Alligator mississippiensis: one gene and its partners. The protein of the gene in region 1 purifies or fractionates together with the protein of each later gene. This does not show direct contact. Links are inferred from orthologs where the notes say so. Each region holds a gene or a part of one and is shown in the gene's direction. Other genes may lie near its edges.

Region 1 (10,501 bases):
TTTGTCTTTGCATGTGGAGAGGGAATTCGTTGTAGTCTCCCAGGCCATCTTCATGTGCCTGCTTTCGGGGCTGAGGCTGGGAGAAAGCAGTAAACTTACTGTGCCAGATCTCCCTGTGTAAAGATGGGGTGTGAGGGAATTGCTGGCCCTCAGCATTTGCTGCTGGGTTTGCCACAAGAGTAGAGCAACCAGAAGGTGTGTAGACCAAGCATAATGCATTTGAGTACCAAGCACCCAGTAGAAGTGAGACTGCTGCTCTACAGTGGTTAGCTGAGCTGTCCAGGGGACAGCAGTGACTTTCAGAAAAGAGGAGCTTATCTGGCCACAGGAAGGGCGGGCACCACGGTATCCTGCCAGTGACATAGCTATCATGGGGGAAGGATCAGTGTCCACTGGTGCCACCGGAAATCAGGCCTGTAAGTGAGCAGTCATGGCAGAGAGGGTCTTGTGAAATGCTGTGTTTTCAGAAGCATCTGTGCCCTGGGGTTGCAATGGGGAGAGAGACATTGTAGAGGGGGTAAGTGAGTAGGGGAACCCAGTGGATGTGGGAAAATGGTTTTGAAGGCACTTAGTGGAGTGGATCATTCGGCAAGTTGGACAAAAAGGCATCTCATTGCAGGGTGCTCAGTGTGTGTTACCAGCGCACAGCTGAGAATTTCCTGAGATTGGCCTCTCAAACGTGAAATGCTGCAAAGCTGGAATCTCAGCAAGCAGAGTACCCCGCTGGGTTAGTTTACTTAGACTCGGACTGAAACAGGTGTCAGAACAGACCCATAAAAATCCCAGGAAGCTCTCTTATTTTTCAGGAGTGCAAAGGTCCCTTCCCCTGCCTTTGGCTGACCTGTCACTGTAGCTGGATCCTCTTCTGCCGCTGTCACGCTTCATCAAAGCAGCACACTTTGCCGCCTTCCACTGCCCTTCCGGTTTAAACCACATGCTAACACCACTGAACAAGTGTAGCAGGTGTGCAGCCTTAGACTCAGCCTTCTAGAGAGGGATGTTTGCCAGCCCGTTTTCTGCCCCTTGATGTTGCTGGCTTCCCTTCATGCTGTGGCCACCCGCTTGTCTTCTAGCCCCCAGGGAAGGCATCAACCTTGCAGAAACCTCTTCTGACCTCTTTCCTACTTCCACGTCACAAAGGTGACTCCTTAGTGGTTCTTTAGGTAACTGCCTGTGTAAGCAGACTAGGGTTTTAGTGATGGACACTTGAAGTCACTTGCCTCCATTTTTTTTTCCACACGCCCCCTGCTTTGTGCAAATGTGAGTGTTTTGAGAAGGCTTGTCTGTTTCCTACCCCATGGGGGGCAAGGGCTTGATCGCTCCTGTCTGTGCACCTCCTGTTTTGTATGGCAACTGTCCCAAAGCATGAGTGGGCTAAAGCACTGCATCTTTCTTTCCAAGATGGCTGATGGCACAGAGGTGCTGGCCAGGGCTGGACGGCCTCTGCTCAGCAACTCTGGGCTGTGAGCCCTGTGCCGGGCCCCACAACGTGGCCTCTACCCCATTCGGGGTCAGGAGTGAAGGGGGGAGCTGAGGCAGCTGGGATCCCTCCCTTAAAACTGGGGAGAAGAAGAAGACACTGCCAAGATATTTGTTAACCTCATTGTTCATCGCCACTTGGGAACTTACCGCCAACGGTGGTTTCTGTCCCCCTTCACTCTGCCTCAGTTAATGGCGCGCCAGCTCTGACTGTGGTTCTGCTCATGCACTCTGGGCTTCTGGTACTGGCTTTTCACAAGACAAAGTCATTTCTTCGCAAAACCTCTCCTGTGCCAGAGGCTCTGCAGATGGATTTTTTTCAAGCAGATCACACTTTTTGGCCCTGCCAGCTCCTGCTGTGGGCCTTTTAGGCCTTTCTTCTCCCCAGGGAAAAGATTAACTGCTATTTCAAAGCAAGAGGCTCATCATAACATTGCTAAGTGGTGTTTGCAAACCTTGGAGCTGTGAAACCATAGTTACCGGAGCCGTGCGCCTGCCGAAATTATCCATGCAACCGATCAGGGGACACCGATCCACGAGCCCTCCTCAATTCCGATTGGCTTGTGACTTGACAGCACACGGACCCAGAGGGGGTCTCTCCCAGCCTGTTAATTAGCGGATGCTCCTCCAACAGGAGTCCCGAGCCATCCCATTGCTGTCAGTCGGTGGGGCTGAGCTGGGATCAGGAGTCCTGCTCTCGCATTAGTCACAGACGGGAGGAAAGTAATCGCCAGCCCAGTGGGCTGTGGGCGTCGGGAGCACTGTGGATGACTCATGGCTTCCCCATGCAGGAGCTATTGGGCCTTTCCCCTCCTCTCTAGTATCCATCTGAGAGCTGCTGGGAATGTATTCTGTATCCCACACAAGCACATGCAGCTAGCATGCTGTCAGGCAAAGCACAGTCTCCAGTTTCCATGGGAACGCCAGTGCCAGGGTCTGTGTTCCTTCAGCACAGCATGCAGTGTTCCTAATGGGGTGAGGGGGTGAGCGGCAGCACAGATTGGGGAGAGTGGGTGTTAATTACCCCCTTGATTGACTAATGTTCATCCCTGTAACCCTCTCTGTGCTGGCTTCCCCTCTGCTGGGGTTTAGCTAGCTGCTGCTGCTGCGCAGCACAGTGCTGTTATACAGCGAGTGGCAAGGACTGTATGGACAGGTGATGACAGAGCCCCCACGAGAGGGTGAACCAGGGCAGGTTGAGACTCCACTTTTGGTCAGAGCAGTAGGCGAGAGCTGCTGCTCCCAAGTGCAAAGAGTCTCCATTGTACTGTCAGTATTAAGCATTTAGACCTCGCGGTGCCCTCTACCTCCATCCAGTGTGTCCTGAGGGAGGCAGAGAACCCCACCGCACAGGCCTTAACGCCTGGACAGCTCCAAAAAAAACCGAACTGGTTCCCAGGATGGCGCTAGGCCACCACCCCAGTATTTGTTGTGCGGGGAAGAGGGATCTTGCCCTTCAGAGGCCTGCGTAAGAACAGGAGGGGCTTCCTTGCTCCCCTCATCCCAGTACCAAGCATTGTGAATACCTAGTGCCCCCCTTCCTCTATTCCTCCTGGGCCATCTAGCTGCAGAAGCTCGACAAAGGAGACTTTGCAAAAAAACAAAAACAAAACAAAACAAAAAACCCCAACAAAAAACCCAAAATAGGGAGAAAAAAAGAAAAGGGGGGGAAAAAAAGCCAAGCAGGCCCTAAGCCCTGGAGCACAGTCAGTCCATGCGACTCTGGCCATGTAGGGGCAGCGCGCTCGCACTCACTCCTTTCTCCGGATGGCTGTCTCAAGCAGCCTGGGGTTTTTTGCATGTTATAGCAAGGTGCATGTAACAAGGAGGGAGTCAGCAATGGGTTTTTTGTTTAAGCTTTGGGAACAAAGGTGCGTTCACCTTGTATAGGGAGAACCTTTGATGGCGATAACATCCCGCACACCCACGGGGAGGGCCCTTCTCAGCACGCTGCAACACTCAGATCTGTCTTACCTAGCTAGATTCTCTGAACAGAGCCGCTTGGAGGCTGGCCTGCCTCACGCCACAAGGACCGCAGAGCCCCTAGGAATGCGTGTTGGGTGCGATGGTGATGTGAGGTTCTCCGCTGAAGGATCCTATGCCCGTTGCCTGGAGACTGCCTCCTTTTTTTTCTTGCTTTTTTTTTTTTTTTAGTTATGTTTAAAGAAAAATGGTGACAAATGTTATTTATTGGCAGAAATTATTTAATATAATTTCTCTTCTTTTTTGTGAACAAGGAATGAATTTGTTAGAACTGTCTTACTGTAAATGGGAAGTCATCTTTAAGAAAAAAAAAGTTAAAAATTAAATGACACGGTCGTTCGGCTCCGGGGTCTTTCCTTGAAGTCTGATGCCCCACGGCGCATCGGAGCACTGGCAGCTTTCCTGTTGTGTGTTTCCTCAGAAGCCAGTCAAGGCGTGATGTTTTGGCCCTGAATCCCCGTGTCCCGTTCTCAGCACTGGCAGGAGCTCTACTTGTTGTGTGGTCCCCAGGTTAACACAGCACCCTGTCCCATGCCCACAGCCCTGCGTCCCTGGCAGAGGAAAGTTAGTATCTTTCCAGGCCCTGATTAAATGGGGAGCAGCGGGAGGTAACTGGCCTGCGTTTGCCCACGGGAGAGCACAGGTTGACCCTGCTGCATAAAAATCAGCTGAGCACTCCTCACAAGAGAAGGGCGTAGGCCAGGTGTCATGAAGGGGGGGGAATGCTGAATGCTAGGGAGAACCCACCCAGGGAATTACACTGGCTGAACTCCTGCTCCTGTTACAGGGGGATTTTTCTTCCCCTCCTGCCTCCCAACTCCTTCTGGTGCCTAGAGTCAGGCCTGCTCCCTATTCTGGCTCCTCTCCACTGTATGTGCCACAGTCGGAGAGGAGGCAGGCATAACGGCAGACCCAGGATGTCAGGTCACCTGGGTTCGCTATTGCCTGCTCTGGTTTAAACTTGATGAGTAAACACAGTGGGCCTCAGTTTTCCCGGTCCCTAAAATGGGACCGTGCGGCTTCATTAATCAGTGCTGTCAAAGTGCAGGGAGGTCCTGGAACCAAAGGTGTTTGCCAGGGCACAGCTAGGGGTGTGCGTACTTGTGCTGCTGCTCTGCTGCGCTCTGCAACAGGAAGACAATGTAACAGCACGAGGTAAGCACAATGGGGTTTGTTGCAGTGGTGAAGGCAGAGCCCACAGAGGAACTACCTTGACTCAGACCTACCATGAGCACACTGCTCAGTGCTGGGACCATCTGCAAAGCCACTTGCTGACAGCAGCCGCACAGGCCATTCATCTGCCCTTTGCCTTCAAGTGTATGCCCCCTTGGCGGTGCCAAGAAAGGTGGGATATGAAATGCCTCGGAGCCGGGCACCTGCTAACACAGAGCAGAATTGTGAGCAGACTTGAGACGCTGGGTAGAGATAAGCTGAACATGGAGCATGGGCCCCTGCTGCAGAGAGCTTGATAGCTCGGCCTGGCTACCATTCACCAGCTTTTCTTTGGCTGTTGATGCAGTCTCCCGCCTGCATTAAGCCCCCACCACTCCCCTATGTTACCTGTTGTCCAGCCCTTGCAGTCAGGATCAGTGCCACCCCCTGCAGCCTTCATGCCAATAAATAATGCCAAGTCCCTCAAAATACTGAAGCGAGCCCTCCTTCCCTACAGGTGAGTGGGGTTCAGAAAGCAGCACCTTGCAGGGGATGCCTTACCCAGGGGAGCCAGCCCAACTGCTGCAGCTGTCTATTCCTAGGTGTCATGGCTTTTTTATGAGGTGAGACATGGACCAAAGGCCCCATGCTCAGCCGTGCTGCCTGCTTCCTGGCCGCCACAGAGGGCGGCCAGAGCAGAAGCAGCAGGCTGGGGCTCCTAGGCACTGTAGCAATTCATGTAATAGGAAGTAGCACTGCCTCCCCCAGCCTGGAAGCCTGTTACCCGCAGGGACCTGCTAGGAAGCTCTTAGACTATGCTCAAGCCAGGGCACCTCTCTGCAGCTGTCCCTGCTGGGTGCTGGGACTCCTGGCTTCTATTCCAAACTCTGCCACGTGGGGGAAGTCGCAGCCCCTTTGTGCCTCCCTTCTGCTGGCTGAAGCTTTGAAGCGCTCTGAGCCCTGGGCTGACAGCCTGCTCCAGAAGGGCCTGCTGCTGTTGCAGATGGGCTGTGGCACTCCAAGCACAGACTTGCTGCTGTGTAGGAGTGCTATCTAATCGATGCTAGCAGGCCTGGCGCCCACTGCCGAGCAAACACGAAACACTCGACCTTTGTGAATTCTGTCATTGCCTGCGTGTTAAATATTTATCAGCAGCCAAAGGACGCACTTGGATCGGCTGGCACGGGCAGAGCGAGAGGCTGTACGCCCACAAAAAGAGCTGGAAGGCAGAGGCCACCAAGCAAGCAGGAGCTGGGGAGGTGAGCTGGGTCCGCGCATATGTTGCAAGTGTGGTGGGGATTGCCTGTGGGGTTGGAGCCACCTCACCAGTGCAGCAAGGCTGCGCCACAGCCAGCCACTGTGGGAATCCAGCCCTCGCACTGGGCAGGCCGCCTGCAAGCGGCTACCTCGCTGTGGTGATGTTTGCTGCACGGGGAGCAGATTGACGGCAGCTGGCTCGGAGGGGAAGGTTCTTCTGGATCTCCAGACCATGGCTGTTCTCAGTGAGGTCTGGGATGGAGCTTCCTTGGCTCTTACAACCTTTCTCAACTAGCTGGCAACCTGAGATGCCCTGCCACAAGATGGGGTGGCCACAGCCACCAGCCCCTTGTTTGCAGCCCTTGCATTGAGACCTCCTGCATGGTACCTTGCTCTGGCTCCAGGGATGTGAGTTGGAGTCCTGCTTTGGACTGTGCTGGAGGCCCTGGTTCCTCAGGCTGGGAGATGAAGCCCATTTCTACGTGATGCAGCCACATCTGAGCCTCGTGTGTCATCAGGTGTGGAAGCTGACATACCTTAACCACATCAGCTGGGCTCTGACCTTTCACGCTCCGGGTTGAACACCTCCATGGGCATACTGCGCAAGCTAGCGGCCCCTTTTGGGTTGGGTGGCTACAATGCAGTGAATGGCATGAGATACATTCCCCAAGCAGAGTGTGCCGCAGGGACACAGCCAGTTCTTGTTGACCGTTGCCCTGCTCTGTGTTACCACTAGTGCAGGCGGTGGTTGATCTTGAACCGAGAACGGCAGACTTGCTCTGTTCAGGGGGTCACATCTGCTCTGTACTGCTTGTCAGCACTTCTCAAGGTGGTGGTAGTGTGATGCTGGTTTGTTCAGTAGTGCTTCAGTGAGGGGGTCCTACTCCCAGACCAGGACCTGCTGTGCCATGGCTCTATGCTCACACCATCCCTGGCCAGAGTTGACATGGGCCACTGCAAGAGAGGAGCCAGCTTGTCTGCACCGTTCAGCAGGCAGCAATGGTCACTTAGCAAACCTTGGAGAGGAATGCCTTCGATTAACTGGTTGCTGACCTGTGAGGAGTGAAGGCCCTGACCCTCCAGGGAAGACCCCCCCTATCAATACCCTGCCCTCAAGGTACCTGTGTGTGGCCTGGCAGGGGGTGTACCCCCTGGAAGCTGTCTCTGTGTGTGCTGGGGAAGGGAGTGGTCTGGCACCACACATGGCTTTCAGCCTTTTGGACTATAACTGAACAGTTTACTGCAGGTTGCACCAGGGGATGTGCGAGGGCAAGACCTCAGGGCTGTGCCAGCTCCTTTCCCATTACAAATGGCCATGGTCCTGTGCTAGAAATGCTACCTCCTGCATGGGAACACACTGTCTCCGGTGTGTCATTCTTTTGGCATATCTATAGTTGCTGTTGGTTTTCTTGGCTTGCTTCTTCCCCTGCCCCTGCTCTCCCACGGAAATGTTTCTGCACATTGCCATGGTGTGAGGAATCCAGCAGGAGGTGCCCTGGCCCCTCTTCTCCAGGCAAAGACAATTTGCTTAACCAAATGCACACACCACTGCCAGCGCCTAAGGCATGACCACTGTCATGGGGTTTCTGCAGCATCACACTCATGAAAGGTTTCTGCAGCATCACACCAATGCTGTATCAACCCTGAAGGTTTTCTTAGGCCAAGCGGGTTTTGCCTTGTGCCAATAGCAGCCTCATGTGGGTCCAGTGGCAGCATTATAGGCAGAGGCTGGTGGCCTGCTTCTGGGGGTTGGTGGCAGGTGGGGTGATTTTGTGGCAGAAGGCAAGGAATCTGAGCCTTTCTACAACCAGATTCAGCTTGTCCCTTGCTGGTGTGGGTGGCAGGGAGGCAGGCAGTCAAAGGAAAGAAACCGTGGGTTCAAAGCATGCAGGTCTTATGGTACAGAGGGCTGGTGGAAGTCAGCCAGGCCCTCTTCTGTGGCAGGCTCTGGCTTTCCCAGGGACTTCCTTGGCTTTGTGAGTACCAGGAAGCCCCGTAGTGAACTCTGCTCCCTGAGGCATTCCCTCGCCCTGCAATGTGGCGTGGCTGCTGGGCACGTCTGAGTCACAGGGCTGTGAATCCTTCACCCAGCCTTAGCCTGCTTGGCTGGAGCAGCCCTAGTGCCTTAAAGGCATCCACGTCGCTCAGCCCAGCTCTCGGGGCCGTCAGGCTGGTTCCTCCCTTTGTGCAAGGCCCTGAGTGCTGCTGTTCCAGCAATGCTGGGTTGGGGGGCCCCTCCGGCACCATGCCGCTCCAGCCCTTCACTCTGCACTGCCCTCAGAGGTGAGCTGCAGCACCAGAGCCAAGTTTTACCTAACTAGCACAGGTCAAGTCATAGCAGCATGGTTCCCGGTGGCAGGCACTCAGCCGTGTCTTGGCCACATCTCAGGTGTTCGTGGTACCTGTGCTGCCTCGCTTGCAGCCACCGGGGATGCTTGTAGGTGCTCCAGACTCACTACCAACCCCCTAGTTAGAGGGTAGTGCTGCTGCCTGGCCACCCCTTCCACGGACATCACATGTGAGGCGACTCTGGCACGCTTGTGGTGCCAGATCCTGTAACAGCCCAGCTTATGGTAATGCCACTTTTATTATCCTGGCATCTCCGAAGGGCTGGAGCATGGCCCTGCCCTGGATTCCAGGGGAGGGGAGGGGGGACCTGGCACCACAGGACATGCCAGCAGCAGAGCGGGTGGCTCATGTGTTGGACCGCACAATGGCTGCTCTCACTCGAGCAGGCCCGGACTGGGTGAGGGCAGTAACCTGAGCTCGCTGCTCTTGTGAAGAAAAGCTCGGGGAGGTTCTCCATGTCCCAGAGTCAGAGTGCGTCGTGCGTGTGCTCCCGTAGGGACACGGGTCCTGCTGAAGTCCACACAACCTGCTCCCTGAGGACACCTGGGAGCTCTCTAGGATGCTGCACTGTTGCATGGAAGCCATTTGGGAGCAGATATGGGATGGCCGGAGGATGCATGGGGTGGCCCTTCCCTTCTCTTCCCCTGCCCCAGGAGCCTTCCCTGGGGTAGGGATGTCACTGGAAGGAGAGGCCAGTTAGGGCACCTGCCAGGGCTGCATGGCACTGCAGGCTGTGCTGTGCAAATCTTTCCTCCTGGAAATCCCTCCTCTGCCCCAGCTTCCCTTCCAAGCTGGTTCCCCTGCTCAGTGGTGCCAAGGACCAGAGAGCAGTCCCCCACCTGGACTGTGCTGGCTCTCCCCTGTGTGTCCAAGGCAGGTGTTGCATGACCATGTTCAGCTGGTTTTCAGGCCTGGCTGATGGTCCCAGGGGTGGAGCAGGCCTGCAGCCGCCCTGGGAGCATCCATGCTAGTGCAGTGCTGCTGGAAACCCTGTACTGCTCATCTTAATGTGGCTCTAGGCAGAGTGAGCCTCGGGGCAGGGAGAAAGCAGCTGAGGAAGGCCCGGCGTTACCCCATTTCCTTCAGCAGCAGGAAGGGCGGTGGTTGTGGTGACGGAGGAGCTCTGGACACTGCTCAAGAAGGAAGTGGCCAGAGGTGCCCACAGTAGGTCCAGCTGGAGGAGCGACCACTTGCATTATCCTGGTATATATAGGGGAACCAAGCATGCTGTCAGCCTCAGTGCAGGTCAGTGCCCAACTGGGTGTGTTGTAGGGAGAAAGGACAGGCCTTGGGCAGTGGACACAGGTGCAAAGCCAGGGAGCAAAGTTGAAGGCAGGTCAGCGTGGTTGGACACAGAGCTGGGCAGGGCATGGACAGGCAGGAAATCAGACCCAAAGAGCTGGCGATGCACTGCACAGGACTGGTACGAGGGCCTGCCTCACTGCCCCACGCTGCTTGTTGTCTGGACAGTCAGCTGCCACCGCCCAGGGGTGGAAGCCAGGATCGGCTGGAACAAACTAAAGGAAAACTGTGAGATAACAGCCCCGGCTGGCCCGGCCAAGCTGTTTCCATCACGCAATCTCATCCCTTCCTGGCTGGAGCTGTGTAATAGGTCTGCACAGCTCTTCCCCCACCAGCACCAGGGCTGAGTCCTTGCTTCCTAGCTGTAAATCCCCACGCATCCAGAGCAGGGTGGAAATATTCCCCTCTCCGCTCAAGCGAGCAACCTCCAGTCCCAGCACCACTTAATACCCAGCTTCTCTTCTCACTCTCTGCCCTGACTGGCCAGGCTCTTCCTGAACCTCTGCTCTGCAGGATGCTGGCTCAGCTCCCTGGCTGGCAATGTGCTACCCGCAGATGTTCAAGACACTTGTGAACAGGGAGATGGGCGATGCGATGAGGCAGGGTCTTTGCTCTAGCTGGCCCCTGCTACATACCCCTTCAGAGGCAGTAGGGACGCAAGAAGAGATGCAGGAGTAAGGTGGGGGTGGATCATGTGTGGGTGGCAGGCAGGTCCCCAGGATGAAGGGTACAAAGCCAGGCTCCAATGTGAGCAGTTGCGGGGGCAGAGGGGTGCGTCTCAGCCCGGTGCCATGCCCAGGCCCAGCACAGCGGGCCCTGGGGACTACCGGCTACAGGGCAGGGCTCAAGCAGGCTGTGGCAAGACTTGCATGGCTGTTTCTAGAGCTGCCTTTGCCCAACAGAGGGACCAGTGGGCCTGACGCAGCAAGATGCTGACCCCCTGCTGCCAAGCAGGCCCTGCCTAGGGGCACGTGTGTGC
Region 2 (10,383 bases), on another chromosome or scaffold:
CTCTTTTTCCCTACAGAAGCACAAACACAGACGACTGAATGTTCTATAAATTAATTTTCTATCGTAAACGTGGATTTGAGCATTAAGTTCCAAGAACCCCTGGATTCTTGAAAAATATTATATGGAAGTTGATGTTAAAATGTATCTTTTCGTCTAATCCACAGGTGGTTGTAGAACTATTGCAGTAAGGTTATTGAAGCCCAATAGCTAGAACAGCTGGATGGGTAACTCCTTGTAGAGGGGATGCAGAAGGGAGAAAAGCAGGTTTCCTACGGCAACTGATCTTCTGGTGTGGGTTCCCCTGACCTAAAAAGAGGGGTTTCATACAGACCAAGCACCACTCACAGACTAGATAGGAGCCTCCATGACTCTGAAGACAGGACCTGGATTTGTCCCTTAGAGACTGTAAGGTCAAAACAGCGTGCCTATTCATTCTTAATTTGTACAAAGTTTAGCTCAATACATCAAACTAATCAATGTTATCTTCTGTTGTGCAAAAATGGAATGAGCACAGGTACAGAAATTCCCCCCATGTTCATTTTAAATAAGCAACCCAAAGTTTAGAAAGCATATGAGAACTGATTCTGCCTTCCTCCTTTTCCCCCTCACCCCTGCACCAGGGTGGGCCAACAACCCACAGGAGCAGAAGTTGGGTACATTTAAAGTATCCAAAGCAGTTAAAAAAAATTTTTGGGCTTTCCCCTTCGTACTCAGAGGCACATTCCTTCCCTTCCCCTTCTCCCCTTCTGCTGCTGCTTCTGTCCCCACTGTCCTGGGGAAGAAGGTAGCTCCAGAGTTGCTTCTGCCTGCTTCAGCCAGGCTGCACAGGGACTGGGTCCAATGTGGGTCAGCAGTGGCAGCAGAAGGGGTCCCCCATCCCTGTGCCTGTTCCCAGGCTAATGGTCTGTTGGGGTGGAGAGAAAGGACCAGGTAGGGAGGGGGAATCCAGACACTGCCACTGTCCTGGGCTGAGTCTGGGCTGACTGTGGCAGGCAGGAGTAGCCCTGGAGCAGGGACAGGCAATTATTTCTGCTGGAGGGCCACTTCATGAGTTTTGGTGAGCTGATGAGGGCCATAGGTGTAGCTCTGCCCCTTGACAGTTGTCCCGCTCCCTGGTCACCATCTTGAGACTGGAAATCCTGCCCCTAACCCCTGACCTTTGCCACCAGACATCCCTCCCCTTGCCTCAAGAAGTATTCCTTTTGGGAAGGGAGGGTTATCATCTTGAAACCAGAAAAAACCTATATCATACACTAAAAGTCAAACACTTACTATAACATATTTTAATTTTATTACAAAAAATATTTTTGTCATGATTTGTGTTTGTGTATTGTATATAGAGGAGATTGCATAATAAAAATGAACTCTTACTCTTGTATATTGTTTGGGGGGTGGTGGAGTGTGGGAGGTATGTTTGGGAGCTGTGAGGGGGTGTGGCTGTGTGTGTGGGCAATAGGGTATGTTGGGTCTGTGTCTATATATGTGGAGGAGTTGTGGGAGCAGGGTGTGGGTATGCAGCATTTGTGGGGTGTGAGGGAGGGTGGGCGTGTAGGGACCTCCACATACTCCCCCAAGGCACACAGCCTCTGCCACCAGTGGCAGCAGCAGCAGACAGTGGGCACTCGGGGCACTCAGGGCCTACAGAGGCGCTGCTGCCCAGCGGTGTGTGGCTCCAGCCATCATTGCACGTGGTGGCGAGGAGCGCAGCCAGAGCAACCTGCCTCTCTTACTTGGGGCTCTGTGTGACGCACGTGCAGCTCTGCACCACTGGGAGAAGTCCTGAGCAATGGAGCCACACACCATGTGTGTACCTGGGAAACAAGGGGTGGGGCTCCCCTCCACTTCCAGCAGAGTCCTAGGACCTGCACAACAAGGGCACAGAAGGCAGTCACAGCTCCATTGTGTGAGGCTTCCCCTGGTGGCACGTGAGTGCTGGGAGCTGTACATGTGCCACACGGAGCCCCACATGATAGAGGTAGGCCAGCGTGCCTGCACTCCTCACCACCATGTGCAGCAATGGCTGGAGCTGCCCACAGCTGGGCAGTAGTGCCTGCGTGGGCCACAAGCACTTGCTGTGCACCATGCGGGGAGTGTGTGGAGGGTCCCTACAACCCCCACACACCCACACCATGCCCAATCAAAATAGACTAACAAAAACAAAAAGAGGATTTGTGGGGAGGAATATATTGAAAGGAATGAATGAATGAATATAATAACAAAATAAAAAGGTATAGAAAGAAAAAGGTATTGATGAATCCCACTTGCTAGGTTAGCAAGTAGGAAATGACTGATAGCCGTTTTTGTCTAACACTGCTGAGCTGCTTTAAGACACAGCTCAGTAACTGACCCCAAGGCAGGAAGCAGGCCAGTTCAAACAATGCTGCTTTTTATGCTGTTTTTCCATCCCTCCCCCAGAGCACTGGAATTGGAAGGGACCTCAGGGAAGGATCAAAGTCAGTGATCAGCTACACAGTCAATATCAGAGCAGTCCTTCCCTCCTCTTCTCCCTCCCTCTCCTTACTTTCTGTTTTCCCTGTTTTTTTCAGCTTCAAAACTCAAAACATTTCAAAACTTTTGAAATGTTTTGACTGCCTTCGTTTCGTGTTGAGGCTTTTTTGAAGTCTTTCATTTTGTTTCAATTTCGCTGTTTTGAGCTTGACAGGAGTCGAAACAGTGTTGAAATGAAACAGCCAGTGAAATTGTGCACAGCCTTACAGTAACCTAATAACACTGCACAGTAGAGTGTTGGTCAAAAACTATGCTAATACACTACTATTAAAGTTTCCACATGGATATTATCTTTCATTTTGATCATTTAAGTGGACTAATAGAAAAGGATTAATAGCAAGTATTCACATATACAGTTTTTCTTTAAAGATAAATCTTCTGACAAGGAAATGGATAATGAAAAGACAATTTATTAAATCTGATGTTTATCATATTAGCCTCCAAAAATGATTAAATGTGGTCATAGTGATATGTTTGCATGCCACTTTTAATATTATTCAGTGTCTGGGTCCTATGTGACCATCGATTTTATGAGCAAATACAATAAAAGAATGTGTACTGGCCTCTGGCTACTATACCACTCTATCCAGGCAGAGCACAGACAACCTACAGATGCTTCCTCAGCCTGACAAAGGGTGTTTGTACCTGAAAGCTTACTAAGAAGAACTTTTCCAACCATTTGAGTTGATCTAATAAAAGGTATCGGACTTCTGCCAAAGAACCTTGTCTATAATAACGGAATACATTTGGATGAGTTTGAGGACAGCTGTCAGACCTTCAAAAGGACTGGAAGAGTTGTAGTAATTGTTAGTGGTGGCCTATCTATCCTAAAATGTAAGAGAACCTGTGATAAATCCAGGGCAGAGCTCAAGAGAAATTGGCAGGGGAGGGAGGTGAAACTTTCAGGAAAACGGTCACTCCAATTACTTTTTGCAGAGCCAATCAGAAGTCTCATAACCTCTTGGACAGTATCCAAATAATTCTGGTTGGGAGAAATTCACCTGCCTGGGTGACTGTAGTGAGAATAGCCATTCTTTGTTGGTTTTGTCCAAGATAAAAATCCATTTTGCAGTGGTAACCTAGTCCTACAGCCAGTACCATCATCAAGGCTATCGTACATGTCCTTTTCACTCCTATTTCTAGGCTGCAGCAAACAGAAGCAACTACTGCACAGATAATGTAATAATCCAGATAAATGATCTTTTTTTCTACTAAAACAGCAAGCAAGATTCTTTGAGTATGTGTCCCATTAACAACAGGGATGGAATTTTGGAAAATGAAGGTTCACAGCTATGGCTGCTGGCTGACAGAAGTCCGAGGAGAAAAGTAATGGAGATGCCCCAGGGCTCCTTTGGGAAGTATATGGAAATATGCAGGGAGTGAGAAAGAATCAGTGGATTGCAGAGGAACAGGTGAGGTCAGTCAAAATGGGCTAGCATGAAAGAAGGTGCCAGGTTTCAATGGTCAGAGGTTTGTTCAGTTTCCAGCCAAGCCGTACAAGTTCTAGCCAACAGCAAAGCCAGGTGAATGAATTATCTACTGTAGATTTGGCTCCAAAATAATGCAATATTTGTAAGATGATAAAAAGCTACAGTAGTTTGTAAAGTGTTTCCATGTGTGTTATCTTTTTTGTATATATTCAATCAATTAGGTGGCTGCCAATATTTTAACAAGGGGCTTCCACTAAAAGGTTTCTCCTAGAACTGTGTCTCAAGGGGGCATATACTTACATAGAAGAGGGATTAGGCATTGGAGTATTTACTATTATTGTGTAATTATTTGTAAAACTAAGGCTTAAACTGGGTTTTTAACAGTTTTTACCACACACACAAGATCTGCACATGGAGGACTCCTTTATACCCTGATTTTTACCTTCCTGTCATTCGACGCTCAGGACCCTCCATATATTCTCTCATATCCCCAGACATTCTAAGGCAGGGGATCCCAACGTTTATGTGCCCAAAGGCACATTCAAATTTAAAAGAAAAAGCAGTGGGTGCCAATATGAATATTAAGGTATTTAGATCAGTAGATAGTAAAGTATTTAGATCAATCTGATCAATCCTGTGTAGGCACCTGAATAAATCTTGGGGGCCACCCTGGCGTATGCAGGCACCGTGTTGGGAACCAGTGCTCTAAGAGATGTGTGAGTAAAGGGATGGATGTTCTTCACTGACCTTACTGTTACAAACTCACTGACAAAAGATGCACATATATGTATGTTTTTTATGGTGCCTAGGCACCAATTTTGGCTGGGATTTCCAGGAAATTCTGTAGCACAAATAATAAATAATAGGTAGATACTAAAACAGCTAGTTTTGATAGAAAATACAAAAGCCCTAACAACTCTGAGTGAGGGAGAGTTAGAAATGGCAGAATTGATAAGTCAGGCAACTGCAGCCCATTTTTAATAAAAATGTAAATGATCACAGGAAGGGTCAACTTAATGAGACAGAGCGAAACCCATCTTCCCTTTAAAATGTCAAGAGAATTTTAGTAATGTGATGTTATCAACACCCTACTTTATCTTTGTATGAGCGGACATAAATGTTTCCTCTGAGCAGCTAAGGGTCAGATCAGATTATCTGAAGTGACTGATGTGCCTGTGCATGTAGTCCTGAAGGATGTTATGTTACCTTAAGACTCCATCCCAGTTAGGCAGCCCGGCACTGCTATCCCATCACAAGAAAAGAGAGAACACCTAGCCAGCGAAATGTACCGTTATGATTTTGTGTGCGCGCTTTGATGACGTCTCTTGGCTGGCCCCAGAGAGCGTAATGGGTCTACGATTACCACCTTGCCTACCATTCATCTTCCCACCCTCGCTCTCCACATACACGATGTATTCCACAGATCTAAACACTTCTCCATAGTAAAGTGTGTATCCAGTTTCCATTAAAAATCCTGCCTCCTCCCTTTATCCAGTCTATAAATCCTGACTTGGAAAATTAAGATTCAGTAATGTGAGGCATGGATTTCTGGGGGGGAGGGGAAGGGGGAGGTTGATCTCTTTTACCGGACCAAGTGTATGGCTGGAATAAGCTTCCCACTTGACTGGATGAGGAACGCCTTATATTCAAAAGCTTGTCTAACTTTATTCCCGTCATGCAGTTGGCCCAATACAAGAGTTCACCCGTCCAAAAAAATAAAAAAATAATCTATGCCTCTCATATAATCCCTAGACCATCAGAGCTACCACATCCCTCCAGCACTGTCATTAAACAGTGTATCAAATAACCCTGGAGAGGAGAAGGTTTCTGCAAAGGAAGGGGTGAAGCAGTTTGAGGGTTGCGGGTCTGGAGAGGAGGCTTTTGTAAAGGAAGGAGTGAAGCGGTTTGGGGGTTACGGGTCCGGAGGGCAGGCGGTTTCCACAACGGAACAAGTACCAGCTCAGGGGTCCCCGCTCTGCAGAGGTTTGCACAACGCAACAAGCGGGTGGTTCGGGGTCCCGGTCCCGGTCCCCTCCCCTTGTCTCACGACCCTCTGCGCTCAAGACAAGACAGGCCAGGGACCCCTCAACACAGGACACCCCGAGAGCTGGCTCGGCCGCAGGGCTGTAAGGGCGCGGGGATGGCCCGGCCCGGCCCAGCCCGGCGGCGACGGCAGGCGGGGCCGGGGCGGGAGCGGCGGGTGCCTCCGCGCATGGTGACGGTGACGGCGGCGCAGCTCCCGGCCTCCCCCCGCCGCCGCCGCCGTGTGGTCCCGCCCGCCCCCGCTGCCATGTTGGATTGTGCGGCCGCCGCCGGAGCCGGGCGCCGGCTGGGAGTTTAGCGCTAGCCGCAGCGGGAAGGACTGAGGGCGGGGAGCGATCGGCCGCCGGCGGCAGCGCCGCGCCCCGCCCCGGCCTCGGCCTCGGCCTGGGCCCCGGCTGCGCCACGATGCGGCTGCCCTGAGGCGGCGGGGAGCGGACGCGGCGGAGCAGCAGCGCCCGGCCCCGGCCCCGGCCCCGGCCATGAGCAGCGCGCAGCAGCCGCAGCAGCGGCGGGTCAGCAACGTGGGCTCCATGCTGCTCACGCCGCAGGAGAACGACAGCCTCTTCGCCTGCCTCGGCAAGAAATGCGTGGTAAGCCCCGGCCCGAGGGGGGGTGGGGACCGGCGGCTCCGGCCCAGGCCCAGCTCCTCTCCTCTCCTCTCCCCTCCCCTCCCCGCGGCCTGGGCGCCCGGCCCGGAATGAATGGGCCGGGCAGCTCCGCAGGCCCCTGTGCGGGCGCTGCCTGGGCCGGCGGGCTCGCAGGGTGGGCGCGTCTGCGGAGCCTGGGAGCCGGCAGATGCTGGGCCCTGCTGGTGCCGCGGGTCTGCTCAGCCCTGCTTGTTTTAGCCGAGCTCCTTGTCTGTGCCCCCAGCCTGCACATCCCCAAACACACTCACATACATGTACATCTCCCCCAGCATGCGCACGCGCGTATGCACATCCCCCCCCCACCATGCACACCCCGGCACACACACTTACATGTGTGTGTATCCCCCCCAACACAACACACGCGTGCACGCGTGCCCCCAATACACACACACCCCTCTGTGAAATGTCCAGCTTGCCCAGGGCTTCCCTGAGCGAGGGGCTCCTGGGGATACAGGGAGCAATAGAGCCATTGCAACACCCAGTGGAAAAGTTGAATCACTTCACAAAGTTGAAGAAGTGGGAGCCAAGGACACCTGCTCTGCCACACCTTGGGTTGGGGATGGGCCGAGCTCCTCTCGGGGCCAAGCCTGTTCCAGGTTTCGCTCGTCTTTTCTTGACCTGAGTTTCATGTCCACCAGGACAATTGATTTGTGCTGGTTGATGCTGAAAGCTTCCTGCTGCCCTTGTCCCTGCTGGAAACATGGATACAGTGAAAACAATGCTTAAAAGTTTTTAACAAGCTTGGCCTGAAGTAGGACAATGGATTTCTGGTTTCCTAAGTGGCATCTCGTACTGTAATATCAGAGAGTGAGCTGCCTTGGGCTTTCAGAAAGGGGGTGGGGGAAAGATGGCTCTTTGCGTCTTTGCCAGCCAGACCTTAGATCTATGGAAAGCTTCATAGCGCTTGAATTTTTTGAAAGCTCCTTGGAATCAGCCCCCATCAATATTGGTTAAAAGCCTTTCTTTTAAGAAGGCTGCAGTGAAGTGCATTGATCTGGTGGTGTGTTTCCTGTGTCAGGTGCCCAGAACATCGATAATAGGCATCATATTTTTTTTATAATATTGTATGTGCATTTTGCTAACAGTGGTGGCATGAATTACTTAAATTGTAACTATTACCTGTAAGTATCATGTTATGATAAGAAGTTGTCCTGTTTACTTAGTCATCTGACGTGACATCTCTGACCAAACTAATTATTTTAGGTTGTAAGGGAAGTATGTGATATTTGCTATCAGGAAGATTATATGACATCATTCAAAGCAGTTATTGAGATGTTTAAAAAAATACAAGGCTGTAAAAAATGAATGGGAGGAGAGAAGAACTTTTATCTTAAAATTTTAAAAAGGTTGGCTTAGTTATTCAAACGGTTTCAACTTGAAATACAATTAACTGTGCCTATGCATATTTAACTAAGAATTTTTAAAATAAGATTTAATCCAGCCAATGAATGAATAAAGAGCTGTCCAAATAGTGGATGCGGACCACAAGGAGTTAATCTTTGGTCCTCATGTGCCCTTGACTGCTGTTCCCTTCATCATTCTGGCTACTGCAGGCAGGGTCTCAGGGCTTCCTCCCCTGCCACCCCTACTACTGCTTGGCTTTCACTTCCTGGCCATGGAGCAGGGCAGGGAGGTACAGACTGCAGTACTGCAGTGGGGGAGCTCAGACCAGGAGTTGGGGGGCAGGGGTTGGGGAGTAGGAGATGAGACACTTGCTCATGCATGCATGGAGTAGAGTGGGGGGCAGGGGTCCTGTCTACATGGTGCCAGGGTAGATGAGGTAGGGCCCTGGCCCCTGCGGTGGGTAGTCCCCACCCACTGTGTAGTTGGACAGCGCTGAATTAATGTACTCATTATTATTTTACAAAACATTTTTTTTTAAAGCATATTGTTTTGTTTGGGTTTTTTTTAATTTCAGTTCTTCATAATGCTTTCTCTCCCCTTGTCCTACTATACCTCAAAACACAGGTTAATAAAACGAAACTTCTGAGGTTAGTACCACTCGTGTTTTACTGAAATGTAAATGGTCTTTTAAGATATGAGCACAAACAGTAGCTTTTTTGCATTGACATGGTGATAGTGGCCTTAAGAACATTGGATTAATTCCAGGTTTATTTGATGATGTATATTTGTGGCTCTAAATCTTTTTTCTTTGTTTTTTTTCTTCTAATTGGAATCGAACATGCTGACCACAACATACTCCAACCTAAAATTAGAGTCATATCAATTATATAGGATGGGGACTGTGTCACTAGTCTGCCTATCGAGATTTCTAGACTCAAGTCTCCAAACATCTCAGAAATGCTAATTGGGATTATTAGACCATTCAGTAATCCATAACAGTCATTCTTAACGCAGCCTTTCCATGCATCATCCTCATAAATTGCCTTTATGTCCATCCCTGAGAGAGGACCCATAAAGGCTAAGGTACTGGTGGGAGTTCTGACATTTAAGGCTTAACTGTAGGCACAAAGTACTTAAAAATGTATGCAAAGCTGATGAGAGCTTTATTGACTGTAATGTTAATATTCCTGACTCTTGGTAATAATACTGTGTATGTTTTCAATAGTAGGTAGTCATGGTTTCAGGAAAGTAAAATATTTCTTATTATATTAACTTCATACAAGTTTCTATCATTTGGATTTACACTGGGTTGACTATAACTTGTGTTGGGATTCAGGTCAAGGTTTCAAGGGACAAAAGTTACTGTAGGCTGAGTTTTGACTGTTTAGCTTACTGGCTGTACTCTATAGAGTTTTAGGCTTTTACCTGTTACTTAGACTGGTGTTTGCATAGCAAGTAAATCAGATTAGGAGGTACTGGGTATATTATTAACGTGGTATATCAAACTAATAAACACATTTTATTTTTCTAATCAGCTTAGTTCTTTTGAGGATGGTATGGTGTTATGTGGTGGATAGACATTGATAAGACATTGAGGCTTCAATTTGGAGGTTTCTGTGGGCTCTAGGTGCCTTCGGTAGGTAAAATGTGCCCTTTGCTGACATCTGAAATCAAAAAGGGATGCTTTTGCCTTCTAGTTTAGACTGTTGCATATAATGTTCTTTTAATGGAGTTACCCTTTAAGGTTATTTGGGTGTTTCAGCTGTTACAGAATGTTGTTGCCTGCTTTCTTTTTAAGAAGAAAGTGCAGTATCATGTGCAAGACAGCTTTAATGGCTTTTTCTTTGCTTCTAGAGTAAATTCAGGGCACAAAAACAGATTTGGTTTGGTCTCTGCTGTTAATACAACTTTCTTTTTGATCCTGCTTATGTGCCACAATAATTTTATGATCAAATTGAGATCTTTTTTCAGGGTTCTTATTAACATTATTGCAATAACTACATTCATGTTCCTGTTAAAAAATACACATAGATTTTCATAGACATTAGGGCTGGAAGGGACCTCGAAGATCAAATCCAGCCCCCTGCCCCAGGGGCAGGAAGTCAGCTAGGGTCAAAGGATACCAGCAAGATAATCATCCAAACACTTCTTGAATGAGTCCAGAGTAGGTGCCTGTACCACTTCTGGAGGGAGTCTATTCCAGGTCTTGGGGGCTCGGACCGTAAAGAAATTTTCTCTTATGTCCAGCCTAAAATGGTCTTGTAGGAGTTTATGACCTTTGGTCCTTGTTTTTCCTTGGGGCGCTCTGTTGAACACACATTCTCCCAGGTCCTGATGTATACCCCTTATGTACTTATAAGCACCTACCAGGTCCCCCCAAGCCTGTGCTTTTCCAGACTGAAGAGTCCCAT
Region 3 (10,599 bases), on another chromosome or scaffold:
TCTAGGAGCACTTTACTTCTTGTTGGCACATAGACTTCTTGAGACAAGTAGAGTTCATCAATGTAGATGAGAAAGCTATGTGACTCATCAGATTTGGCAGACTGCCCCTCCCATGAGATGTCAGGGTAGCTGAAATCACCTCCAACCACTTGGAATTTGAACAGCCCTGATATAAGCTATTGAGAAAATAATGTCAAAGGTTTGAGTGATGTCCACAGAAATTGTCGTTTTCTAAGCTGAATATGGGCCAACTATCAGCTCATAATAACCTTACAATAACCTAATAATAATAGCCACATATGCACAGCGGGATGCATAATTTTGGGGATCTGTGATAAAATTTGTCAGATCCTAGTCGCACATCTGCTGGGGCAAACAATTTGCTGCACCTCCCCACCCCGCTGAGGGAGTGCTGGGGAAGCATCCTGATTATCCACTTTCCCACACCCAGTGAGGATGCAGTGAGCTGCCCTCATACTGGTAAAATTGTGTTGCGTAGGCAGCTGTGGATTGAGGAGCTACCTGACCCATTGCATGCCAGCCTCATTGGCTGCTGCTCTGGGATGTGGCCAGGGCTGTGCTGGGCTCTTTCCAGTGGGGGCCTGGGTTGGGCAGTGGTGCTGGGAGGGGGCAGTGGGGGGATGGGGGCTGTAGGCACCTGAAAATTTACCAGCCCTCCCTCCCAGAGTTGCTGCCGCCTGGCCCAAGTGCAGTGTGGCCCAGCCCCTTGCTGGGAAGAGCCTGGTGCTGCCTTCTGCTTTCCCCACCTCTTTCCCCCCCCCCCGCCCCCCAAGGGCTAGGGGGCCATTTGCCCGGGATCCGAGTTGAGGGGAGGGTGGGCTGGGGCTGGAAGGCAACACCAAACTCTTTCTGATAGGGGGGCTGGGCCACACTGCACTTCGGCTAGGCAGCAGCAGTAGTGGCATTGGGAGGGTTGGGGGTGCTACAGTGAATTTTTGGAAGCCTGCAGCCCCCCTCCCCTATAGTCCCATCCCAGCACCATAGCCTGGCTTAGCCCCCAACTGGGAAAGTCCAGCACAGCCCTGGGCCCATCCTGCAGTGGCAGGCAGCCTGGCCAGTATGCAGGTCCAGGGGGGCACATGCCCCCCATGCCCTCCCAGGGAGGCACTCATTGCTCCATTCTGCGCCCTGGCTGTGCAAGGTCTGCCCCTGCTTCAGCCCCGTTCCCTCCCACACAGCTGCTGCAACCGCCCACACTGTCCCGCGTTTGGGGAGGAGCATGCGGCCCCCCCACATCTGTGCGTAGCAGAGGTGGCTGCTGTTGCAGGCTGGGCTTTGTGCCCCGAGCACCACTGCAGCTGGCCTGGGAGTGGCTCGATGCCACATGTGTCCAGCCGCTAGGCTGAGCCTTGTCCCTTGCCCGCCTGGTGACTGGATGCATATGGCATCAGGCCACTCCCAAGCCAGCTGCAGCAGGGCTTGGGGTGCAAAGTCCATTCTGCAATGGCAGCTGCCTCCACTGCACACAATGGGAGGACATGTGCCCCCTGGGGCCTCCACCAGAGTGTGCATAGTCGTGGAAACCCCTCACCCTCTGTGCCCCTCGACGAGCTGCGTAGGCTCAATCCTCTCAACACCTGCCTGGCTCCGAGCCCCACTCACCTTACACCTGGTCCTGTCTCTGCTGCACTCTGTCCCTCACTGCAGGGGCCTCGATCTGGGCCCCACCCCTTCCCTCCCTCAAGGACTGACCTGCTGGGCTGGGGGGGGGCGTGATGCATGCATGCGCATGCTCACCCCCCAGCCTCAGATCAACTCAAAGAGACTCCGTGATTGACTGGTTGGTGACCACTGCTTTAGAGAGTAACCTCATTCACATTTACTTGAAAATGATCTTGTAAGCACATTCCTCTTATAGATGTCAGTCTTCTCTCCCTGTCACTATTGAAACCAACTGATCTGCCTGTTGCCATAGGAGGGGTAACATCTTTTAGGCAGGGTGTAAATGTTGACCTCCTATAGCAACCCTTGTAATTTAACCCTGGTTGATTTCTGCCTTTTGTATATGTGGTTCAAGAAGTTTTAACTAGTATAAATAACAGAATTTGGCTGTCAGATTTAAAGGGAAACAATGATGCACAATTCCTCATATCCATCTCTTGGATCTAATGAAAAGAAAAAGAAGCTGGTAGCGGTAAAAACATGTTAAACATGAATGCGTAGTCATAGGCTACATCTTGACCTGTTGAACATGTGTTAATGGACACACTAAAATGTCAAGTCTCCGAAGTCATAGTCCCAATCTATCCTTTAAAGCAATGACTTAATCAAAAGGTAACGGATCTTACAGTATGGGTGCCTCATATTATAGATCCTGACCTGATGATAATCATATATCTAAGGAATAAAAAAGCAAATATGTTAGGTTGGCATTTTTTGCAGTGCTGAAGTTAAGGTTGTTTTTGTTTTTATACTGACATATGCATGCATACATATTCATATATTAGGGTGAAATTACATATTGTACTTAGACCATACTAAATGTGCAAAATGTTAAGTGGTGTTACAATTAAAATATGCTATGAGCAGCTGCACATTAAGGGTTAATACCATTTCTTGCCTGCAGAGCTCTGACATGCTGCTAGAGGGCTAGTGAGAAGAAGCATGATCTCTATCCCTGCTCTGGGTGAAGAGGTAAGCGGGGTGCATCATGGATTGCTAGAGGACTGCAGACTGCTCATTTTATCACTGTGGAGCAGACCAAAGTTACTCGAACGCAGGCTTGTCCAACATATGGCCCGTGGGCCACCATGCGGCCCGCCAAGCCATTTTCTGTGGCCCGCGGTGCTGCGACAGGACATGAAAGTAAACGCTGTTTACTTTTGTTCCCACCCCTTGTCCCTCCGCCAGCCCCTCAGCAGCTTCCTGATGGCTGCTGAAGGGCTAGGGAAGGGACAAGGTTTCCACATGCACCGTGTCAGCTTGATGTTGCTGACACGGTGTGGCTCCTCCCCTCCCCTCCCCCCTCATTTTACGGTGTCCCTTCCTCACCCCACCCCTCCCTTCCTCATTTGCATGCCGGCCCCACCCTGCACCGGTCCCTGCCGGCTGCATGGACTGGAGGGGGCGTGGATGCCAGCAGGGGGCGTGGATGCCAGCTCGAAGGGATGCTGTGGCCAGGCCTGTGGGAGATGCTGCTGCTGTTGCTGTGGCTGTCGGGGCAGGAAGCTGGCGCCGCTCCCGCATCCCCCCACGCCCACAGACATCATGCTGGGGGTGTTGAGTCGCGGATCCCGGAGAGGGAGGGACCCCTGCTGCTTGGGCTGCCCCAGGGAGAGAGGGAGCAGGGGGGTGTCCCTGCATATCCTGCATCCCCCTGTAGAGTCCCCACATGTCCCCCTGGCTGTTGAGCCCAGGTGTGCAGGTGCGGAAGCATCCTTGAGGCTGCCCAGGTGGCAGGGAGGACATGGCGGGGTAAGGTGGCACCCCTTGACCCCTGTGCCCCCAGGCCGCGGCTGGACTGGACAGGCTGCGCGAGCGCCCGTTCCTGCCGGCCCACTGGGTGATAAAAAGTTCATGATCCAGCCCCACATTCAAAAAGGTTGGACACCCCTGCTCTAACGTGAGCTAGGTAGCATGACCCAGAATTTGGTTTCTGTATTGTATGCTTATATGGTTATTTATTTTCCATAGTTTTTATTGTTGCTTTCTTTCAAATAATGTATGCAGTTAATGGCATTAGAAACAGTGTTTTAATGTCAAGTGTTAGCCAGCAACGTTTTTTTTCTTAGAACTGAATCAAGATGCTGCAGTGTAAACAAGGAAGTGAACAAACCCATCTTTGTGCATTGCCATTCCATTAATACAAAAAGTTTACTAAGCATGAAAACTAAATCAGTAGAAGGAAGAACTTTTTCTTCTCAAAGCTCTAAGTACGGGCTCAAAACAATGGAGCCAACACGAATGGAAACTACCAGTATTTAAAAAACATTGTGGGTGTCCCTTTAAATCTTGCAAGATTATGTTGTGACTTTTGGTGACTTTTTTTGTCTAGATATAAATCTTTCATTTCTTTTCTGGGCTAAAAAACTCACTTCAGAACTTGGATTTTCCAAAATGTAGTGCTTTTCCTAGGATAGCTAAAGAGCAACTGCTTCCAGCTGTACTTCCATGAGTCTGTCTATTGTCAGAAGCTGAACAGAATCAGGCTTTACTTAAGTACGTGGATGGGAGACAGCCAAATAACGGCCTTGCTACAAAAATGGTGGGAGTAACAAACAGCAGGATTTTCCCTGTGCCATTACTAGTGTTTTTACACAGTGTCAGAGGCCCTTACCTGTAGCAGGTGTGGTATTTTAGATAAAATGTAAATCCTGTAATTATTTGTGGTAATTAAAGGTGACGTCCATGAGGTGCTTGCAAAGTAAATCGCTGCTCAATGTAATAATTAATATCAGCATTTTACCCTAATTTATGAACAATATTCTCTCAATAGTTATTTCTTACTTTCTTTGTATAACTATTGTGCCCTGTTGCTGATTAACCACTGCTGATTCCCCTGAGGAAGCTGAATTTTATTGATAAGTGAAAGGATCCTTAAATTACCAGTAACAATGCCAAGATGAGTGGCAACTGCAGCTGCTACTCACTTAACATCATAGTTATGTCCTTGAAAAATGTGACTTTAAGTGAAACCATGTCATGTGAATCCAGTTATGTCACAATAGTTACCTACTAGCAGGTAGCGGACAAACAACGTTATAACTGAACACTGTGCAACTTTGAAGATGGTCTCTAATAGATGAGCAATGTAATAACGAAACAAGGTTAACGGGGACGATGTTAAGTGAGGCGAACCTGTATGTAAAGTTATTCATTGGAGTTGGCCAAAAGTTATCTGCCAGTGTAGCAAACGGTTAATTGTTGAAACATTCCCAAAGAAACAGAACTGTTTCAATTAAGAAATTACAATAGTGAAAAAAAATTGACAAACACTTTGATCACCCTGGAATAGAATGTCTTCAAACAACTTTCGTTTTGAAATGTATTTGTACCGTATGAATTTACAATAAATCCAAAACAACACAGGCTAGCTAATATGTTGATTATTTTGATCAAAACAAAACAACTTGGTTGGACCAGTTTTCTTCTGGAAATTGTTTGGAAGGGAGACTTCACAATTCCTTGTACCCTCCCAATTTAGAAACAAAATAAACTTTGAAATCCCAAACTGTCCTGCAAAACGAACATTTGTTTCCCTCACCCCTGCTTTTAATGCTGTCACAAGGCAGGCCAGGGATTTAGACAGTCTTTCCAGTAGATGGCACTAGTATATCCAGTTTAATATTTATTGTGTAAGCACGTGAATCAGATTTGCTCTGTCATTCATTTGCTTCCTCAGTGTATTCAGTGAGTACAGGATGTAGAAGTACAATGTCTGTCTTTACATTTTTATATTGAAGACGTTTCTCATCTTTGTATCATGTAGACATTCTATTTCAGTTGCACCTGCTTTTTGCTTTGGTATACTCACTCACTCCAGTAGTTTTCAGGGATGGGGCTAACTTCTCTTCCTGCCTCCTCCCCCCAAAAAAGTAAATGATTTATTTTCAGCAAACAAAACAAGGGTGATACTGTATAAGGGATGCATACATCTCACATCACCTACTGTGCAGAAATCACAACTGGGCATCTAGTAGAGGCCAGGGATCGTTAGATAGGGTTAGATCCAATTCAAAGCTCTACCTCTAGCATCCGGTTCTGCCCGTCAGAGCCAGGTTCACAGCTCCGAGGTGTTCCTCTATCTTTAGTAAAAGACAACAGGTTTATAGGAGCTGAACCGAGTAACAGGATGCTGGCCTGGATGGGGCATGGGTAGGAGCCAGTATAGCACTTGTGTTTCATAAGCTCTGAACTCGTAACGAAGTCTCCTTTACTTCTGGAAGCAGTGGGCGGAGAAGTGGCCACAGTTCTGTAAGATCCCAGAGTTCAGAGCATGGGTTTGCTCTTGGCCACCGAAGGAGAGGAAGTAACACACTAGAAGCCCCCTTCCCACATCCCCGCGGGGGCAGAGCTTTCTGCCTAGGGCCGCCATCCCTACGTGAGCAACCCCCACCCGCTCCTCCTTGCTCCCCTACTTCAGCGCCAGGAGCCAGCCCTGCGCGGGTGCGTGCTGCCGACGGGCTCCTGGAGGTCGGGGGGCCTCGGGCGGTTCCGCCCTGCGGGGCATGGGGGCTCAGGCTTCAATGCCCCTTTCCCCGCCGGGACCGGGGCACGACGGCTCGGCTCGGCACAGCACAGCACAGCACAGCAGGTCTCCTTTTCCCCACCCGGCGCGGGGAGGCGGCAGCAGCCGCGCTCCTCCCTCCCCCGCCCATGACGGACAGGCGGGGGGCGGCAGCGGCTGCGGGGGCTGAGGCGGCAGTCCGGGGCGGGGGGCGCGGGAGGGCCCGGGCCGCAGGCAGCGCGAGGCTGGGCGGGGCGTCTCTCTGCCTGCCTCCCTCCCTCTTTGTGCCCGCGCCGGGGAGAGGAGCGGCGGGGCCGGGGGTGCTTTTCCTCCGTCGCCGGGCGGCCAGGGGCATGAGTGGGAGCTGGGGGCTGCGCGGCCCGGGCCGCGCCTGGGCGCGGTGCAAGCAACATGGCTGCGCGCGGCTGGCGCTAGGAGGAGGCGCTCGGGGCTGAAGCCTCCCCCGGCCGCTGCGGCCTGGAGCGGGGCGCGGCGAGGCCACAAGTTGCCGGAGCGGCTGGGGAGGGCGGGAGGCGGCGCTGCGCGGGCCGGGCCGGGCCGGGCCGGGCGAGGGGGACCAGCCGCCTCCGCTGCCAGGTCCGCGCGGGGGGAGGCGCCGCGCGGCCGGCGCGTGTCTGCCGGCAGGACAGGGCGGGAAGCGGGGCCCGGCCCGGCCCGGCTCGGCTCGGGCGGCATGCTGCGGGGCTGCGGGCGGCCGGGAGGGGAGGAGACAAGCCGCCTGAGCCGCTGCTCGTGCGGAGCGGCCCCGTGCCCAGCCGTGGCGGCGCTGGGGTAGGCGGTGGAGAGTAACCGCCCCCGGCCTGCGCGTCCCGGCGGGAGGGAGGGAGGGAGGGCGGCGCGGCGCGGCCATGGAGCCCAAGCACAAGGAGCTGCTCGCGCAGTGCCGGCCCGCGTTGGCTCAGGCCATGAGCGAGGTGGACGCGGTGGTGGAGCTGCTGCAGGCGGCCGGCGCCCTCGGCCCCCGCGACCTGCTGGAGCTGGAGGAAGCCGGGGCGGGAGCAGCCCCCGGCAAGGCCGAGCTGCTCCTCAAGCTGCTGCTCGCCAAGGAGCGGGACCACTTCCAGGACCTGCGCGTGGCCCTGGAGAAGACGCAGCCCCACCTGCTCTCCATCCTCTACCTGAATGGGGCGGCGGGCGCACCGGCCGGCGAGGCGGCGGGTGAGTGGCGCTGGGCCTGGAGGAGTCCGCAGCCGCGGCGGGTCGGGGCTCGGGGGGGGAAGCAGCCGGGCTGCCCTGCCCTGCCCTGCCCTGCCCTGCCCGCTGCCGCGCAGAGAAGGCCTTGGTGTGCTGGGAGGGTGTCAGGGAGGCTGCAGCCGTGGCCCGCCAGCTTGTATGGAGCAGACCACTCCGGCTCTGGAAGCAGCTGTGCAGGTGTCTCCTTGCCGGCTTATTTTCTTCACCCCATTTCTTTTCAGTTTGTTTCCATTCACATATCCCCCTCCTCCTTGCTGCCAGCACCTGGGCTTTGCCTCCGTTTAGTTGCGCACTGCCTGCCTGCGTGCGGTCACTACTGCTGTGCCAGGGTCCCGAAACCCAGCCTCAAGGGAAGACTACCTGTTTCCACAGTCTTGTTCTGCCTGCTCTGTCTTGACCCGAAACTCCACTGAAGCTGCTGCTGCTAAACCAGTTAAAGTTTTTTGACTGCTGATGGCAGCTAGGAAATGGTTGTTCCTGTTGCAGGTTGCTTGTACTGGTTTAGCCTGGCTTGGCAAAACTGGAGATGCCTGCACCCAGTGTTTGAGGAAAGTGGTAAACGTGGGACCTAGTTGCTCCATTTGGAGCAGAGATTCATTTGGAACAGTCCTGTCATAACTCCTAGTTGTGAGGAAAGGAGAGGAGCAACTAGTGTTAACCTTCAGAGGGAGAGAAGAATCCCACACAGATTTCCTAGGGAGGGTCCTTTTTCTTTGAAACCCAGCTACCATATCTTATAATGAATATCAAGTTTGGCAAGAAGGGGGAAAAATATGGCAGATGTGGATGTAGACCAGGCAGGAAACTATGCATGGGAGGCTTCCTGGTTTATGTAACCCAGATCATTTTCTTAGGACAATAATGAGACAAACTAAATTACAACTTTTAATCCTGCCTGTTCCACCTGGAAAATGCTTATCATATACACTGTCCTACTTGACATTCTCTTTTTATTTTTAATGATGATGTTAGCTGTGTGTGTTGGTGGTAATAATAATAATAATGGATACATACAGTACAAAAAACTTTACATTGTATGGACTCTTCTAAGGCCCCTACAGCATTGGGGGGGAGCATAAACTTGAGCAACAGATCTCAACACTTCTATTATTACGTAGTCTGACATCAGTAGGAGTTGAGGGTACTTGGTTCTTTGCATAGGGGGGCTCATAACTTTCTGTGCAATGAGAATAATGGTCAGCATATTCTTGGCTGAAAACTCCCTTATATACTGATAATGTTGGACTATTAGAATTCCACAAACCTAAAAAAAAAAAAAAAAAAGAGAGAAAAGTATCAGGTGTGACTGCAGGAAAAAATGGGATTAGATGAATCTATTCTTTGACAGTGCCGTGTTCCTAAATTGAAAGTAAGGTAAAATGTCACAGTTCTAAAATTGGTAGAGGTATTTGTAATTATTTGATAAAAAGTCACACTCTCCTTTCTGCAGTGCAGTCATCCTTCGTATAGGGGGGAATGTTTCCCTGACATGAATTATGTTCAGAAGGAGATTTGTGATGCTTTTTAGACACCTTTTTCTTTCTTTTAGTTGTGTTTGAGAGAGAGTTTTCATACTATTGAAATATACTCTGACATTTTCTCAAAGGAATGCAGAAAAGATCATTACTAATGACCCTAATTGGTCATTGTTTGTGTGGCTTTGCATCTAGAAGGACAGTTGTACACAATTTACCTCTACCCCCCCACCCCCCACTCCGGCCCCCGTGTACCCTGGTTAAGACTAGTGAGACTATTCATGTGTATAAAGCTAGCCATTTATCAACAATTTGCAGGATATCTACCTGTTCTGAAAACATTCTGGAGAAGGAATTAATATTTAGCCACAGCTGGTCTTAAATGATAACTTATATTTTAAAATGATCTGTTATTTAATATGGGCTCAGTCTTGTCTCTTTCAGTCTACTTCCTGCAGTTAACTTTTATTTAGTTAGTATTTCCATTCATGGTGGACAATGAAAATAAGATTACATCAGCTAAACTTTCTAGTTTTTATGTACAGGAGTAAATACCAAGGAGGAATGGTTTAGCCTTTTTGTTTAAAGGATATATTATCAAATTGTTAGAAATAACTATTGTAAACAGATCTTCTATTATATTTTGTAAAATAGTTGTATTTTTTAAAAGCTAGACTAGTTAGGCCTACATATTTTAAATATCTTTTTAAGACATATCTTTCAATTATTTTTTACGGTTATTACTTAGATTATGATTGATAATCATTCCCATCCTACATTCTTTTTAAGTTATAAGCTGTTTGTCAGAGAGAGCTATGTGAAGTTATGAATCTTGAATGCTTGCTAGACATTCAGTTTGTATGCAGCAAGCTGCATATACTTATAACTGAATAGTTTTTTCTTGTCTGTTTTTCCTCTGAGTAATTTAAGCTATAGGTGCATGTCTCTTCTATCTACTTGGGATATCTTCATGAAAGAATTAATCTTTTGGTATATCAGTGTATGATTAATTTGCATTTCTTCAACTTTTTTTAGTTAAGGAATAATTTTAAGAAGTATCAGATTTTTTTTCTTCTCATTTGAAATTTAGATTCCCTGTTGGTTGTAATGATGCGGTGTAAATTGATGAAAATGAGACTGTTATTGCTGTTTGGGTGATGTATAGGTGATGCCATCTTATAAATATGTCCCCCCACAACACAAAAGGCAGTTGACAGCTGTTTTTATTGCTAAAGTGGAAGATTTGGGTTCTAGAAGTTGTTAAAGGATTTTTAAAATAGTTAATGATATTTGCATTTCAAGGAGCTTGCTTTTCTTTTAGCATTTTTCTTATGCGACTGTTAAGTCTTAAAGTTTACTGCAAATGTCAAATATGTAGTGAATTCAAATCTGCTATTGTTATACTTTAAAACCCCCCATGCTGATTTCCCCCCAGCCTTCCCACCCCTGCTTATTTGGTTTCTAATTTTAGAGCATTGTGCACGGCAGCATTAGTAAACAGGCTGCAAAAACTGACTTTGTATGATTTTTGCTTAGTCAGAAAGTAATTTCCTGTCAGGATTATTTACTTTATGCTTGGTCATTGTAGAGAGAGCATTTAGTTCTTACTGGATTTTCCTTTACAGATTCATTTAAGTCATTAAATCAAGGAAGCCTAGTATTAGCACATACTTTAAACAATTTTTAATTACTTGTAAACAACATTTATTAAGTTTGGTGTAC

What was found.
Region 2: the proteins of SORBS3 (region 1) and WASL purify together in Homo sapiens (co-immunoprecipitation; 3 studies listed by BioGRID and IntAct, with this or other methods). This does not show direct contact. The link is inferred for Alligator mississippiensis from reciprocal best matches to the Homo sapiens genes SORBS3 and WASL.
Region 3: the proteins of SORBS3 (region 1) and DLG5 purify together in Homo sapiens (co-immunoprecipitation; 3 studies listed by BioGRID and IntAct, with this or other methods). This does not show direct contact. The link is inferred for Alligator mississippiensis from reciprocal best matches to the Homo sapiens genes SORBS3 and DLG5.

Annotation. Positions count from the first base shown.
Region 1 is NC_081830.1:21,755,755-21,766,255, forward strand, and holds the start of SORBS3 (vinexin), read left to right. Parts: upstream 1-5,787; 5' UTR 5,788-5,873; intron 5,874-10,501. UniProt on the Homo sapiens protein: Vinexin alpha isoform promotes up-regulation of actin stress fiber formation. Vinexin beta isoform plays a role in cell spreading and enhances the activation of JNK/SAPK in response to EGF stimulation by using its third SH3 domain.
Region 2 is NC_081827.1:43,713,131-43,723,513, forward strand, and holds the start of WASL (actin nucleation-promoting factor WASL), read left to right. Parts: upstream 1-6,203; 5' UTR 6,204-6,460; coding exon 6,461-6,571; intron 6,572-10,383. UniProt on the Homo sapiens protein: Regulates actin polymerization by stimulating the actin-nucleating activity of the Arp2/3 complex. Involved in various processes, such as mitosis and cytokinesis, via its role in the regulation of actin polymerization.
Region 3 is NC_081829.1:31,287,103-31,297,701, reverse strand, and holds the start of DLG5 (disks large homolog 5), read left to right. Parts: upstream 1-6,419; 5' UTR 6,420-7,056; coding exon 7,057-7,366; intron 7,367-10,599. UniProt on the Homo sapiens protein: Acts as a regulator of the Hippo signaling pathway.